Linked DNA regions of Drosophila melanogaster. The protein of the gene in region 3 interacts with the protein of the main gene of each other region in a pairwise test. Each region holds a gene or a part of one and is shown on either strand. Other genes may lie near its edges.

What was found.
Region 1: the proteins of CG13114 (region 3) and Cpr92A interact in a two-hybrid assay, tested with the Drosophila melanogaster proteins (one large-scale study listed by BioGRID).
Region 2: the proteins of CG13114 (region 3) and CG13840 interact in a two-hybrid assay, tested with the Drosophila melanogaster proteins (one large-scale study listed by BioGRID).

Annotation. Positions count from the first base shown.
Region 1 is NT_033777.3:19,596,200-19,601,582, forward strand, and holds Cpr92A (cuticular protein 92A), read right to left. Parts: upstream 2,757-5,383; 5' UTR 2,636-2,756; coding exon 2,627-2,635; intron 2,293-2,626; coding exon 1,564-2,292; 3' UTR 1,303-1,563; downstream 1-1,302. Other genes in the region: CG7333 (uncharacterized protein), read left to right, coding at 4,475-4,617, 4,682-4,868, 4,928-5,186, 5,247-5,383.
Region 2 is NT_033777.3:22,813,181-22,818,410, forward strand, and holds CG13840 (uncharacterized protein), read right to left. Parts: upstream 2,999-5,230; 5' UTR 2,858-2,998; coding exon 1,457-2,857; 3' UTR 1,303-1,456; downstream 1-1,302.
Region 3 is NT_033779.5:9,543,297-9,548,472, reverse strand, and holds CG13114 (uncharacterized protein), read right to left. Parts: upstream 2,663-5,176; 5' UTR 2,541-2,662; intron 2,457-2,540; coding exon 1,176-2,456; 3' UTR 1,049-1,175; downstream 1-1,048. Other genes in the region: CG13113 (uncharacterized protein), read right to left, coding at 3,681-4,298; Cpr30B (cuticular protein 30B), read right to left, coding at 4,995-5,176.

The sequences.
Region 1 (5,383 bases), on a different chromosome or scaffold from region 3:
GTAGTGTGGAAAAGATGTCCTACCAATAACCAATCAAGTTTAATAAATGAAAACCCTCCGTTTCAAGTTATAAACAAATGAACCAAAATCGAAACAAAAATGCTTAAGTCAACTATTTAATCATTAGTGAAACATATCCCATTCAACGGCAAATATATAAACTTTATATGGGTAAAGCCATCTCTAGGAGTACGTAGTCGAGGACGAATTTAAAAGCATCAAGTCTAGTAACTGAGATCTGAGTTGAGAATAGCCAAAGCTGCCATTTGTTTGTCCACAATTTTATATACTGACAACTGATATCAAGCAACGCAATTCAAGCATATCCCGAAATAGTCTTCATCATCCAGTGGTTGTCTACAATAGATTTTTACCTAACGCGAGAACCGACGAGGAAATCGGACGGAGAAGTCCGAGACGAAGCCAAACAATCAACGAAGAAATTATGAATTAAATATTATACAATTGTCAAGGAATACTGTGAGCTATATTAGCCGCTTATTTATATTAGCGGTATGTACACCGTATATTAGTCTCTTATTCTAAGCAGATTACTTAGCTAAATTGTGTCCAACTGTAAAGGCCTCTAGAGCACAGCACTTTTGTATGGTATATCAGCCTAAAGACCCTTAGTTTAAATAATCGTACACATCAAATCAATCAGACGGATAATGATAGACACAAAGCCCCGAGCTTGGCAACTAATCGTTTTTGTTGGAATAGAAGCTTCGAAATTAATTTAGTGGTAGCAGGCATGACTCAATTGTACCTATCTTTTGATACCGTTTATTACAAAACTAAGGACTATAATCGTATTTAAATTGTATACCTAATCGAGTGCAGCGAGACCAAAACGCACTCTGCACACTGATGAACTTTTGAAGTCGGCTGAGGAGTACATAAATTTATATCGATATCGAAAACATTTCAGTATGTTCTACGAATGGTAGCTCATAGAACCTATTAAACATAAAACATAATACATAAATAATAACACATTATGCATTGTAATAAACTTATTTATAACATACGGTGACATACTCGAAACGTTTATATACAACACACATATACATATTTATACATAATCAGAAATTATACATATGAGATATGCCACATACGATATCATATAACATATACATATATGAACCATTGCGAAAAGTTGATACAATAAATAAAACACTCATCAATTGCGTTAAAACGTTGTTTTTTAAATTATTTAAAAACTTTTTGTGGGACTATTTTCTTCTTGGCTTCGGAACTTCAATCTAATAGTTTCTAGGGAAGACCGCAAACAAATTTGTTAGGTTTTTCAATTCTCGTTTTATTTCCTAGACTAACCATTCAACAACATTTTCTTAAAGACGTGTACATAGGCTAGGGGTAACTTAGAATCAATCTACATGTTGGATCGGTATCAAATCCCTCGAAGAACACAGAGTAAGAGATTGAGAGTACAGCGTTTGGCACAGATATAGCCGGAGTTTCAGTTTTGGGTCAGTGTAAGCTGCGTGCGATAGATGAAGTCGAATCAAATCAGATCAGATAGTTGAGAACCTTGGTCCCTCAGTGATGGTAGTAGGCATGGGGTTCCACTGGAGCGGGGGCCGGACCTGGAGCCGGATAGTGGGCATAGGGGCTGTGCGCCAGGGCGGGATAGGCGGCATGGAAGTGGGCGGAGGGCAGGACTGGAGTAGCCACTGGCACAGACACCGGAGCTGGAGCAGGAGCGGGAGCGGGACCTGGTGCAGGAGCGGGAGCACCACGGTGGTAAGGTCCTAAGGCAAGAGGATACGAAAGCAGAGGAGCCTTGGGCACCGGCGGAAGTGGAGGCGCCGGAGCTGGGCCGTAATGAGCTGGTACTGGAGCGGGTGCAGGTGCGACGACGGGTGCCAGGTGGGCTGGTGCCTTGTAGGCCAGCGGCTCCTTGCGGACCACCGCATTGAATCCGTGATGGGGATCCGCTGTGTAGTCAACGGTGCGTTTGGTTCCATCCGGATCCACAACCGAGTAGCTGCCCTTCACCACATCTCCGTGGCGCGTCTCGTGCTGTGACTTCAGGTCACCAGTATAACCATCCTGGATGTCGTAGCCAAAGGAGTACTTCGGGTCGGGATCGTAGGGTTCGGGAGCAGCCGGCTTGGGCGCCACATAGGGACCTGGCAGGGGCCCATGCTGCGGTGCATATCCTCCATAGTGGTGCAGAGGTCCGGGACCAGCTGGACCGCCATAGTATGGTCCGGGTCCAATCACGCCCGCATAGGCGATGCCGAGCATGGCGCTCAGCAGGGAAATCTGAAAAAAAAATTAAAAGAAAATGTTGAAAGCGATTAAATTGAAATAAGCTTTAAGTAATATGAGGACAGGGAAGAATTGTTTAGAATAATTCTTGGCAATTAAATTTAATTTAAATCAAATCACATATTAACTCGGATCATTCGACGGGTTTCATTAGGACTTAAACTATCTTCTTTATGCACTAATTTTCTTTGTATGAATAAAATATAAGCTTTTAGTAATAGGAACACTTGGTTAATTCATCTTGGCATTCCCCTTGAGAATATGTTAAATCGGCTTAAACTTGATTGTCCAGACTATAAGAGCACTTTGGTATCCTTTGTTTTCACACCTTCAGCATAACGATGTCCTTGCAGGGGTATCCTTTCCACTCGCTCACAGTTGTCACAGACTCAGCAGACACCACACGTAGAGAGTGGCCGGAGTATTGTTGGTTTCGACGACGATCGCGCTAGAAGAAGTAACCAAAACTGCAAGCGTTCGCTGGAAGTTCTGGCCATTTATACTGGCAAACGGCGGCAAATGTCGCCTGCTTCACATGGCGCAGTCGAGGCAATAAACTAATTTCAGATCAAGAGAGACCCGGCCAGACGGAGTCTTCGGTGTCTTGGGCCAGCGATCAAGCACATGGCGCGGACCAGTACTGCGGAGCCACGGGGGCGGGGATTGACTCTTGCCCACCTGGCGGCAAATCGTGTGCCTGGCTTCAACTTTGGCGCAGTTATCGTGTCGACTTAGAAAGGTTATTCTTCCGCTAAACCATTTAAAGGGTCCCCAGACCCCGGAGCCAATCCAACCCGAGCTTTGCCCTTTCACTTTTGCGACGTTTACGATTCGTTTTCGATTCGCTTTTCAATACCCGCTTGGACACCGACTTTTGGCAATTATGTGAAAATTTATTTTGCCGCACACAATTGAAATGTTACATTAACATTGGCTGGATGTTAGGATATGCTGCATTTGGCTGCCGCGTAATTAGCTAAGAAGAACAAGCTGCACCGGGCGATGTTGAGGTTCCATATGAAATGGCAGTTGCAGCGCATGCGCAAAAGGTCAGGTGGTCCACAATTGAATTAAGAGTGCCTGGAGTGGGCCCAAAAGCCAGAGGCTCACCGAAGAAGGGGGGCGGAAACAGGGGCGACTGGCTCGCCACAACAGCCTAATAAAGCAAAAGGTCAACGCGCTGCTGTCGGCACATTAGTCTGGCCCACAGACCAGGCCAAACAACCACTTGCAGTCTAGGCAAATAATGTCATTAATAATACCCTTCAAAAAGTGGCATGACGACTATATAAGGTTACTCATGACTGATCCTTCAGCTGAAGACTGGTTTTCTGTTTGATCTTCCCCTTAAATGGTTGCTACGTAGCGGAGATGCTAAAAGCTGACTATGATAGGACACATTGTAATAGGAATACTGATCAGTTACATAGTTTATAATCAATGATAAACTTGAGATAATTTCTGGAAGGACCAAAAAAGTTTGCAGCTAGTTCCTAAGAGTGCCTGATTAGCCAAAAATACCCTTTCCAGCCTCTAACGACCAAGTGTCTGCGACAATTCTCATGTTTACCGTTTTGTGAGCTTAATTTATGGCTGCAAATTTGTATCTGGCATCTGGAAAACTATTGACATCTGCATGCATTGTCTTACCCTTGCTGTTACCATCGGGCCTGTTTATGCGACAACTAACTATAACAAAGAATCAAAGTCGTGCCAACCGCCGGGCCAGTCGATGTCAGCTGTTTTAACTATTTTTAGCCAGAAGATCAAAGCAATTGATCAACAAGAATGGCAGGCTAATGCTACAAAGTTGCCAATATGGCTGAATGGAAAATCTAGTCAATAATGGATTAGTTAAGCACAATATTGGTATGTATGTAGGTATTTTAATTGCAAAAATTTTGTTTCGACAAAAACTTACGCGATAGATGTGACATCTCCTGTAGATATTTTCCCAATTACAGGGCTCACAGCTGGCAAAACATTTGACGGTATATCTGTAATTTTAAAACCCATCCAGCTGTTTTAGCTTTATGAAACATATTGCCTAAAGCCGCTAAAGATAAATTTATGGCTATTCCCAGCGCAGTTTAATTTAGCTTCTGGTCAGTTCTCAAAGGGAGTTGGAAGTAGTCAGTCGCTTTGGAAATTTTTTATGTCATCGAAGCAACGTCTGATGGATTTCAGTCAGGTTCTGGATAAGTGTGGAAACTATGGCAGGTTCCAGGTGATGATCCTTTTGCTGTACGGCTACACAAATATTCTTGGATCACTGCACTACTTTTCGCAGACCCTTATCACCTTCACACCAGAGCATTGGTGAGTGTGGACACAAAATGGGTGATTGGTCCCGACCATGTAATATCCAATCTTTCTTATGCAGGTGCTTCCATGCTGACCTTAATGGTCTCAGTGTTGAAGGGATTCGCTCGGTATATGAAAACATATCCGCCTCATCCTGCACGCCCCTTTTGGGCGTAGTCAACGGCACAGGTGTTGTATCTACGAACCGAAAGTGCAGGAATTGGATTTTTAACAGGGAGAGCGGCTACGAAAGCATTACCACCGAGGTATGAAGCCATTGAAAAACGTTGTTGAAAAGATTTACAATATAGAAAACCCACTTCAGCTCAAATGGGTTTGTGACAAATCGCATCATCCAGCAGTGGGCCAATCCTTCTTCTTCATGGGCTCAGTCGTGGGCACCATAATCTTTGGCTATCTGTCGGATCAAGTAGGTCGTCTGCCTTCCCTGCTGATGGCCACCTTGTGTGGTGCAACTGGGGATTTTATCACCTCCTTTGTGCACACGCTGCCCTGGTTCGCCTTTTCCAGATTTATGTCAGGGCTATCCACTGATACCATGTACTACCTAATGTACATATTGGGTAATATAACTTTAAATCAAAATATAAGGTTAAATTAATCTACGTTCCCCATATCGTCAGTCTTTGAGTACTTAAGCCCCAAGAGCCGTACCTTTGGCCTCAACATCATCTTGGCTGTATTCTACTGTTTTGGACTGATGACCTCGCCCTGGGCCGCCATTTGGATTGGTAATTGGCGACGCTACCTTTGGCTGGCA
Region 2 (5,230 bases), on a different chromosome or scaffold from region 3:
GTCGGACGTTAGACACTGGATTTGGGCTACGGTGGCCAGAAAACGGGACCAACGGCCGCCGGCTGTGGTGGCCAGTGGTCAGATGAGCAAAATTCCTAACGAAGCGGTTAATGTGGGCAGTGCAATTATGAATTTATGCACATTTATTCGGCTGCAAGCGCCATTTACTATTTGCATACCCACTGCACAACTACATGTGTAGCAGCGGGATTCACGGAAAAGCGTTGATTTGCACGCATGCTTATTATATTTGATTTTTAGTTGGTTTCCGTCGCTTTGCGGTTTTCCTCAGCATAGGTATGTGGCTTATAAATGCTAATAATGTGGCCTGCAACGAATTGAATTTACAAAATTTAGTACACAGCTAGAAAAGTAATGCAACTATTTTCCAACGTTTAATTTTCCCAAGAAAAAGAAGGACTCAGTAAGCTTAGGTTTGTTGGTCTACCGCTAGGTGGCTGAGTAATGAGTATTAAGTAAGTAGTCAAAGCGCTTTAAACCCCAAATCTTTGAACTCATTTTTCCCCAAACATTTTCCTTAAATTCTCCTTTGCTGCCGAATATTACATATATTGTGTGTGGTGGGTGCGGAGTTCTTCCTCACTTCGCCTCCCTAAAAATGGAGTCGAATGGCTCCCACGTCAATTAGGGCTAATTTCATTAGCCGGCAATAACTTGCAGCACTTTCCCCAACCAGAAACTACTGGCCCGACTTTTCGCGACCCTTGCTGGAACTTTACTTTTTGGCTAATTTTGTTGCTGTTTCGTTAACGCCTCGGCGAAGTTGAACGTCGCGTTTATTTGTGCGTCATTGTTGCTCCTTCTGCTGTTTCAGTTAAAAGTTGTTTCAACTGGAGTTACATTTGGCAATTAGCCGCTGCATTTTCTTGCACTTTCGCTGCAGCCCCCTTTTGCATTGCAACCGGACTTCAGCCTCGTTCTGCCCATCGCACTTCAATACATATTTATTAGCCGCATTTGTTGGATTTTAGCTCAATTAAAAAGTTTTACTCGGCTACTTTTCTTCATTTCGGTTTGGGACCTGCCCTGTGACTCCAACTTCAACTTCGACTCCGAATGTGTTGTTTTGTTTGGTAGCTGTTAACTGGGAGTTAGAAACTTGGATTTGGGATCAAGGAGTTGCATGCTGGATGCTTTTGCAGCCACACTGCAGTTGCTGTCGGTGGCCTTTTTTGTCTTCTTGTTTTGCTAATTGCAATTACTTTTTGGGGTTCAGTCACTAGAAATTAAGGCATAAGCTGAATTTGAAATACTCTAGCCGTTAATCAAACTGCATAACATGAAAAATTAATAAATGTATTTAATTCAACTTAAGAACATTCCACCAAAAATATATTTATCGACTACCCTACAGTTTGTACTTTTACTTTACAAATCAAAAAACCCCTTTTGCAAGGGTATAAAACTGGCTTAAGAATTTATTCTTAAGATAGACTCATCCCAGCAGATGATTGCCGTTGGCACTCCAGCCGGGTGCCACGTAGTGGGGGCGCTGCTTGTGCACCACCGTGCGCACCACTGGCACTTTGACCGGATACGGATAATAAACTGGCGAGACCACCGGCTTCTCCACTCGGTAGGGTACCCTGCGCTCAACCACAAAGGGAATGGGCCGCTCCACGGGCACCGGCTTCACCCGTTCGATGGGAATCTTAACCTCTTGCATCTGGGGCACGGCCACCGTTTGGGCCACTGGTATTTTGATGGGCATGGGCTTGGGTATGGCTGCGATCACGGTTCGTGGCACTTGCACCTGGACGTTCTGCTTGAAGGGCACATGCTGCTTCTGATAGTGGGTGATGGGCACACTCTTAGTGATCTCGATGTGCTTGGCCAACGGCAATCCGGCTACCGCTTTACTGCTCTCCGGAGTATGGTGCACACTGGTGGTTATGGCTGGGAGATCTGCAATCTGGCTATCCTTGTGAGAGTACAACATCTGCTGGTCCTGGGCAACTCCCAGGCGCTGGTGATGCCGTTGATCCTGAGGATATTGCAGCGCATGTGGCCGCTTTTGTTGCAGATGTTGTTGCAAGTGTGGCTGTTGCAGCTGTCTGCTTTCAGGTTGCTGATAATGTCGCTGCTCCAGTGGCTGGCTTTGCTCCCGGTTTGGATGATGACTCGATAGGGACTCTTCCTGCTGACGCTTAACTGGATTGGCCGGTGTCTGGAGTTCTTTGAGCCGCGCATAGATACTAGTAATATCCTCCTGCTCCTGGTGCTGCTGCTGCTGATGTTGCTCCACCTCCTGCTCCCGCTGGCGATTCTCCCGGTAATTGGAAATTTGTTCGAAATGGTAATCGCTGGGACCGGGTAGCGATGTGGCAAACTGCACCCGCGGCCGATATGCATAGCTTTCGTAGTGCTGCTCCCCATGATGTGGCTCCACATCGTAGCCAGCGGAATTTGGCTCATAATTTGCCGTATTAATGACAAAATCGATATTGGCGGATGGGTCGCGACGCGGCTCCTCATCCGCGGTGAATGGCGAGTGCAGTTTGCTGTTGTAGTAGAAGGGCACAAAGCCATTGGCCGTGGTGCCAAGGGAGGATTGCGAATGGCGATGGTGCTGTTGATGGGTGGCGGCCAGGAGTTTGTGAGCATAATTTCCATATGTTGCCAAGTCATCGCCGGCTGCAGTGTCAGTGGGGCCATAATAATTTCGCGTATATCCTGTTAATCCCGGCAACGAGTCCACACCCGCATCCTGGTAATGGTGTTTGCTGCCATGTTCCAGCGACAGGCCGAGCGGGTACTCCGCCAGGGATAGGGGCAGTGGGGCATCTATGGCCTCCATTGTCATGGCCAAAGCGAGCCACATTAATGCATAGATCATTAATGAACTGGTGGCAGGTGACCCAAAGCCTTGGCCGGATTTTGGCCGCCCCATAACGTTGGGTGGTTGTGTGTGTCCTGAAATCCTGAACTCCTGTGTCCTATATCCTTTGTTCCAATCCGCCAACGGAGTGCGTGTTTGGATGCAGCTGGCGTGGGTGTTGCTCCGCTTTGAAATGCAAATTTGTGACATCGCGATGCTGTTTTTATAGCACACACACACTCTTCAAATGCTTGGAGCGCTCTACTTGTAATTGGATATCCTCGTTGGCACTTCAAGTTCATTGGCCAATCCACCATGGATTGTGTAAGTGGAAGCCCATGCCCAGGCACTCACTTTCACTCGGCGGCACACACCAACTGTTCCAGATAGTCCCTTTCTGGTTGTTCCTTTCAGATGCAAGTGAGGCGGCGATCCGCTGTCCGCACAATTCGCAATCACAAAATACGCAGCTATACCGCAATTGCTAGCCCGCAATGCACATCGACCTATGCACTGTGGTCTAATAGGGCTCAAAAATTAAAAAAGAAAATCTATTGTGGATGTGATAAAAATGGTAAAAATGAAGTTATTAAATTAAGTAAGTTTTGTTTTGAGTGCATAAATATTGCTTCCTTTTTAAGCTAGCATAATATTTGATAATTTTCAACATAGCTGTAACCACTGTGCACCGGTTGGCTCCCAGCCGCATCGGATTTCACACTGTGTGGCAGCTTGCGGTCAATGTCGCGGCCATTCCGATGTTTGATTGCACAAATGGTGACGTGCGCTTCATGTGCTTGCGGTCCGGTCTTTGCCAAGTGCAATCGCCGGAGATTTGAAACGCGTCTGAGATCTCGGATTGCAGCACTTTCAATTTTCATCTGGATGCATTCGACGACATTTGGTATCGTTGCTCTTGCATAATTTACCAGCCACGCCTTCACTCACTCAAAGCTGACAATGCACTTTGGGTCTAAAGTGATTCAATTTTAAAGAACCTTTGCGGGAATAGCATTCTCAGCGATTTTATAGTGCACTCAGCAAAATAGTTGATATAAGATTATAATATTTCTATATTCAGGTTTGTAGAATTGAAGATACATTTAATATGTGATACATAGATATATTATACCTTAGTTACCATTTTTGTGTTTTCTGCCATTCGTAGTTCGTTTAAAGTATTGTAGTGTTATTTTCCGATTTTAATCTTATATTTGTGATTTTCTCTGCGAGTAGTTGCCTCTGGCGGGAAATCAAGGGAAAGTCGGCGAAAAACGGAGATAGAGCGAGTTCTTTTCGTTGCTAGCCTGGCATCCTTGGATCATTCATCATTCTGCTCTGCATTTAAGTTTGCAAAGTTCACCAGGTTCGCATCGCCACCTTTCTCTATATACATATATATATATATATTTGTATATATATAGACCCACCTTAGCCACGCCCCCTTAGAGCGGCGTTAGCAGCAACGCCCACCGTCACCGCACTTTTGAAATAACAGCGCAAAGTACAAGTAAAGTGTATTTTCACATTGAATGAGGTTAAGCTTCGTTAAATTTTGCGCAGCTTCACTGTACAGTTAAACCTCCCCATCCATATCACCTGGAACGAGAGTGTGTGTGTTATACTTGTTGGATGCAATTTTTTTCGCTTCTTTTTCATTACTTCAAATGCTTTCAAGCCCTGTGAAGCATATTTTAGCAAAGTTCCCATAGAAAAGAAGCCAGCCAGCTAGCCACCCAGCTTAACATGGCCAAAATGTGTAAAGAAAAAAATCTACTAAAAAAAAAAAGAACAGAAAATAAAAAAAAGTGAGTAGAAAAAATCGACAAAACGATGGCAAAGTTAAATGCCTGCATACACATACTTATTAAAGTTCAAAGTTTTCTTTGGCGCGCTCTGCATAAAATCCATCATAAAATTAACAGGCGGAGAGGAGCAGCAGGAGCAGCAGGAGCAGATTTTGCTGTGACACTGAAACTTCATTAAGTCACGTTAAAACGTTAAAATGAGAAAACGGTCGAAGGAAAGGCAAAAATCCAGCAGCCAGCAAAAACAGAAGCCAAGGCAGCCAGCAAATAGCCAAGAAATTCCAGCTATGGCATAGTTGGCAACGTCGCTGGCCTTTGCTTGACCCGCTCGGAGGTGGGTTTTTTTTTTTTTAATGGGGGACTCAGAGGCTTCGGCGGATACGGCGGACTCCGATGTTGTGGGTGACTCGGGGTCGACGGTCATCGTTGCATGCGAATTTAATCAAGTCATGCAATAGAATTTACGGTTCCATTGCCTTTCGGCCGTCGATGCCGATGGTCGTTCCGTCCTCGTTTGTTGGTCCACTCCCCACAAAGATTTGGCCCAAAACTTGGCCTTGGCTGTATAGTTTGGGCCCTAATG
Region 3 (5,176 bases):
TATAACTATATTTTCTTCTCGATAATTTACGTTTAAATTCATAGCTGGGACGACGTCATTATTTCAAAGTGTTGCAATTTATCGTTTTTAGTTTCACTTCATTTACAATGTACGAATATGTTCTAAATATTATGATTTCACTTTTTTATTTGTTATTTTATATGCAAACATTATTGAAAATAAATAAAACCGCACATTCGCATCTTTGCAAGTGTACTATGCAAATTGTTCTTATTACTTCGTTTGTTGAATATTTATATCCTATCAAGTGCAATTATAGTGAGCTACTTATATAACTTTCTGATTTCCATGGCTATTTTTGTGTGTGCCTATAGAAATTTTCTCAATCCGACATCCTTTCTAGATCGTGTCATACAGAAAATTGAAATGAATAAGCTCCACAAATGTAAAACCTTAGAAAATGAAAGACTTGAGCTGGTGCGTAAAATTTGTGAAAATACAAATTGGAAATACCAAAAACAATTTGGATTCGCCTTGATCAACGGTTAAATAAGCGCTGTTTGAAAACATTCATATTGCATAAATCATATATATTTGCATACGAAAATTTATGAATCTAATTTGTGTATATATCTATGCTTATCAAAATTGGCAAGCATAAACCAGAATTAAGCTGGCGAAATGCGTAAGATGAAATCTTATTCAATGTTATCGACAACAAGAAAGTATATAAAAAAATGAATGCAAATGAAGAAAACTTTTTAAATACAAATAATAAAATGCGTCAAGCCGAATTATAAATGATCGTTTTTGAAAAGTAGCAAACTCGCTACTTTATACTATGTATAAAGTATATATATTCTTGATCAATAGGATCAATAGCCAAGTCGATCTGGTTATGTCCGTATGAAAGTCGAGATTTCAGGAACTATAAAAGCTTTTTTTCATAATTTTATTAGTCTTGTAAATTTTTATCTCTTGTTTCATTAATTCTTTTAACAAAATCGAAGGGGGGAAATTGCTACTTTATAGCCCAAAAGTATGCAATAGTTATTTCAACTATAATACTAAGACCATAATATTCTTTAGTTTTTTGTTAATAATTTATTTAATCATCATGTAGTCAACAGGAAACGGGGAGTACATCAATAAATAATGGGATACCTAGAAAACATTCTAGCCTAGACTAATCCTAAAAAACAACGTATGGAACTTTAGTAGTCCGCATATCCCCTTCCTTGGTTGCCATATCCGAAGTCCTTCAGATAATTATCGATGGCCAGATCGAACGTGGACGATGGCTTATCGGGTCCAGAATCGGGACCACCATATGGCTTGATCTCCGGTTGGGGTACGGGATAGGCTTCCGTACGCGGTTGATAGGACTCAGTTTGGCTGGGATATGACTCTGTGATGCTGGGGTAGGAGTCCTTTTGGCTGGGATAGGATTCCGTGGGACTTGGATATATGGGTGTGTGGCTGGGATACGACTCCGTTTGGCTCTGCACAACGGGATAGACTTCCGTCTGGGGCGCCGAGTATTCCTTGGGTGCTTCAACAATAGGATACGATGTGGATCTCTCATAAATGGGAGACGGTGTGGCCACCACAATCTTCTCCTCGTAGGGAGTCTTTATCTTGGCCACCGACACGCCCGATGATGATGATGAAACCGCTGAGGCGGCATACTTAATGCTGGAGGAGATTTTGGGTGCCGGCGCCACTTTGCTCACGAGTGGAACCACTTGCTTTTTGTAGCTTGGAACCGGGGAATAGAAAACGGAGGGAGCTGGCTGAAGCTGAATACGTGGCGGAGTTGGCACACTAGCTGGGTAGCCCTTCTTGGTGCCATACGCAGTGCTAAGCAATTGGGCCAACTCCTCCAGCGTGTAATTAGGAGCAGCTATGCTGGCCACCGCTGGTGAGGAAGCCACCGAGGGAATGGAAGCCGGTGAAGCAGCTGATGCCGCCTGTTCGTAGACCAATGGATATGGCTTATAGGCCTTGGGTCCGCCCACTGGTCCTACCAATCCCCCATAGGATTCGCCTCCGTACTTGGGAAAGTATTTGCGCTGATGGACATGCGTGTACTCCACCTGGCCACCTGGGGCATACTCCCCAATGGATGAGATCTGGGTGAGCGGCTGCTTGGGCTCAGAAGAGATCACCTTGCGGCAGAACTCCTTGCAGCCCAGCTTGCATTCGCAGTAGCACTTCTTGTACTCCGATGGCTGTGTAGTGTAATCCGTGGGCGTGGGTGGGGCACTGGTTGTTGTTGGGTAAATAGGTCCCGGGCTGGTGGCGCTGGTTGTGGGCGGGCTCAACGTAGAGCCTCCGGTTGTTGTTGGCGCTACCGTTGTGGGCACCTCGCTGCACGGCACCTGTTCCCACACCTCCTGTTCACATTCCGCACAATATTCCGGGAAATGGGCTTGGGTCAATAGTGCCGATGCCATCAGCATGGTCATAAATAATAAATTGCAGCGTTCGAACATCTGAAGGGGGGAGAATATTGAATTTAGAATGGGTCAGAGAATTGCGCCGGAATCGTTCCCAATCGATTGACCCCGTTACCCTACCTTTCAACTGAATTTCTCCCTCGCTCGCTCGATCACTTTCCCCACAATTGCTGGAATTTCTGTCCCGGATCGCCGATGGATGGCACTTGTTGGCTGTTGGTCGGTCGCGTGCGAAACTCTTTCATGCATTTTGCTGAATAGCTCTTAAATACGCTGCGCTGGCCGAGAGCTTCTTCTTCTCGTTCTTACAACGCCGAGCAAATGGGTCGCGGAAGCGTTGACCGCATCACGTTCCAAACGCCCCAAACGGCTCGGAATGGGGCGTGGTTGTCCGGAATGGGTCCGGAATGGGTAAAGACAATCGCCAGATGCCGCCGCTTCCGTAATACACATTCAAGCATTTCTGCCCGCACTCGTCGATAGCTTGGAGTGCTCGCGACAAGAGTTGTTTAATCAAAAACATATAGCAAACATATTTATGTATGACCTTTGGCATGACAATAACCTTTAAGAGAAAGACGAACTTCATAATGCATTTTTTTTAGGCAGTTTCTCATTAGCCAGAATAAACAATCCTCCTGAAATCTTTAATTTTATAAATAGCCAAAACCATTCCGACCGCAATGATCATTTTTTCGGTTCTGCACAAAATTTCCAGCTGCTTGGGGGATTTATAATTTCTGGGTCTCGGCCTAGATCTGATATTAACGTCTGGGGTCGATTGACTTATCAATTTTTGGTTGTAATTCTTTGTGGAACTCAAGGTCTACACGTACACTATGGATAATGGTATTTTTGTAAGCGATATTGCTCAATACCTAAATTATCTTCCTACAAATTGAGTACAAAAGCTTTACTGATTTAAATAATAGTATCTTGACCATTTAACATTTTGTCTAGCTCATTATTTAAACAACATTTTGGGAAAACTCTGCTTAAAATTGGGGGCACTCTTAATCTTTTTTGTTTTAACAAAAATAAGCAACATCACTATTTTCATTATTGCGAGTAAAAGTCATAACAATTTTAGCCTTACAAAGAAAAATAGCAAAAAACTCCGATTTATTTAAAGTAGTCCTTTAAAAAAGTACTTTATTTTTTTTACTTTTATACTTTTAGTATTTATTCATTGTCCGAATCACCAGAGATCACTTAAAATCAAAGCCATTTGCACATTTGGATGAGGTGACTTATTTATGATTAATTTAGATTTGCTACACGACTTTGGAAGGGTAAGCCGGGGTAAACCTGAATATCAGGGAAGAAACTTTGATCATCCCGCACATCAGTTTCCATGGTTTCCTTGTGGTCACGTCTTTTTTCGATGGAGCTGCGCTTCCTTAGTTTCTCCCAGCGATTTTGTTTTAGTTGTGTCTTCGGTTTAACTGGCACTTGAATTTGAGATGGTTTTTTAGATTGACCCGGATCGGAAGTCTCGCGAACCGTTTCCGTGCGACTTGCCATTTCCACATCAATGGTGTCAGCTTTACTACGACCACTGGTAAGTCGCCTCAGCATCTCCTGATAATGCGGTTGATCCGCAGTTATGTATTCCGGTTCGTCTTCGGGATTGAGAATCTGGTAGTTGGGGGTGCCCAGTTCGAAGGTGGTGAATTCACCATGCTCCACTTTGTTCTTCAGATGCTGCGGCGTATACCCATACTGCTTAAGTGGAGCCATCCACTTGGCATCCGCATCCGCAACTGTATCCTTTGAGCTTCCCCCCAGGCAGAAGCCAAGGGTCAATAGCAATGTGACCAGTAGTTGTCGTGTCTCCGGGCAGCCGACCATTTTCGCACTGATGCTCCATGGATGCATTGGTCAGAGCGTTAGCCAAATCCAATAGAATCGCCATCGACGACGTCGACTGCGCCGGTAATTGGACGCCCCCAAAGTGGCAGCAGCTACGTGAGATTAGAGGCATCTATGGGCCATGTCGCGTCTGGCGGCGATAGCATTAGTTTATGCTTATCACAGTATCGAAGCCACCTGTATCGTGACGCATCATTTTATGAGACATCAATTCGCAAATATAATGATACGAATTCACTGAAGAAGCCAAACACACAAGCGAGTTGAACTAAGTCAAGCATTTCATTCACCACTTTTTTTTTTTGGTTTTAATAATCTTTCACTTTTTTGTGTCACACTTGTGAACTGTCATAATGTGGTTTTTCTTCACTTGGCTTATATTTTTCTTAACTGATCTTCACACTTATATAAGTATGTTTGCAACACAACCACTACTCAACTACTCATTTTTTTTTTTATATCAATAAAATACCCTCACCCAGCTTTTAAGTATATTCCCTATATTAAAAAATCCAAGTTTTTGTGTTCCTCTGCGAACAGATTGAATGGGATGCATCTTTATTGTAGGTTAATGTAAGCTGTCTGTATGTACACTCAATTGTCTTAATTGTAACTAAATTATGATGTATGGCAGTGAGTTTTCCCGGGTCAAGACGGGTTTCCTAATGGGTTTATGCAGCTGAAGTCAGTCATTAGATCCTTTTAGTACTTGTACTGTGCTGTTGGTCCGGATACAGAGACATAGTTCCCGGCGGACAGCTCCTGCTTGATAATGGCCTTGGGGGCGGCGTAGTGGACGAGTGGCGCCACCGGTAGCACGGGAGTCAGGATCTTGGCGGCCAGGAGCTTCTTGGGTGGCTCAGGCAACGGTATCTTGATGTCCG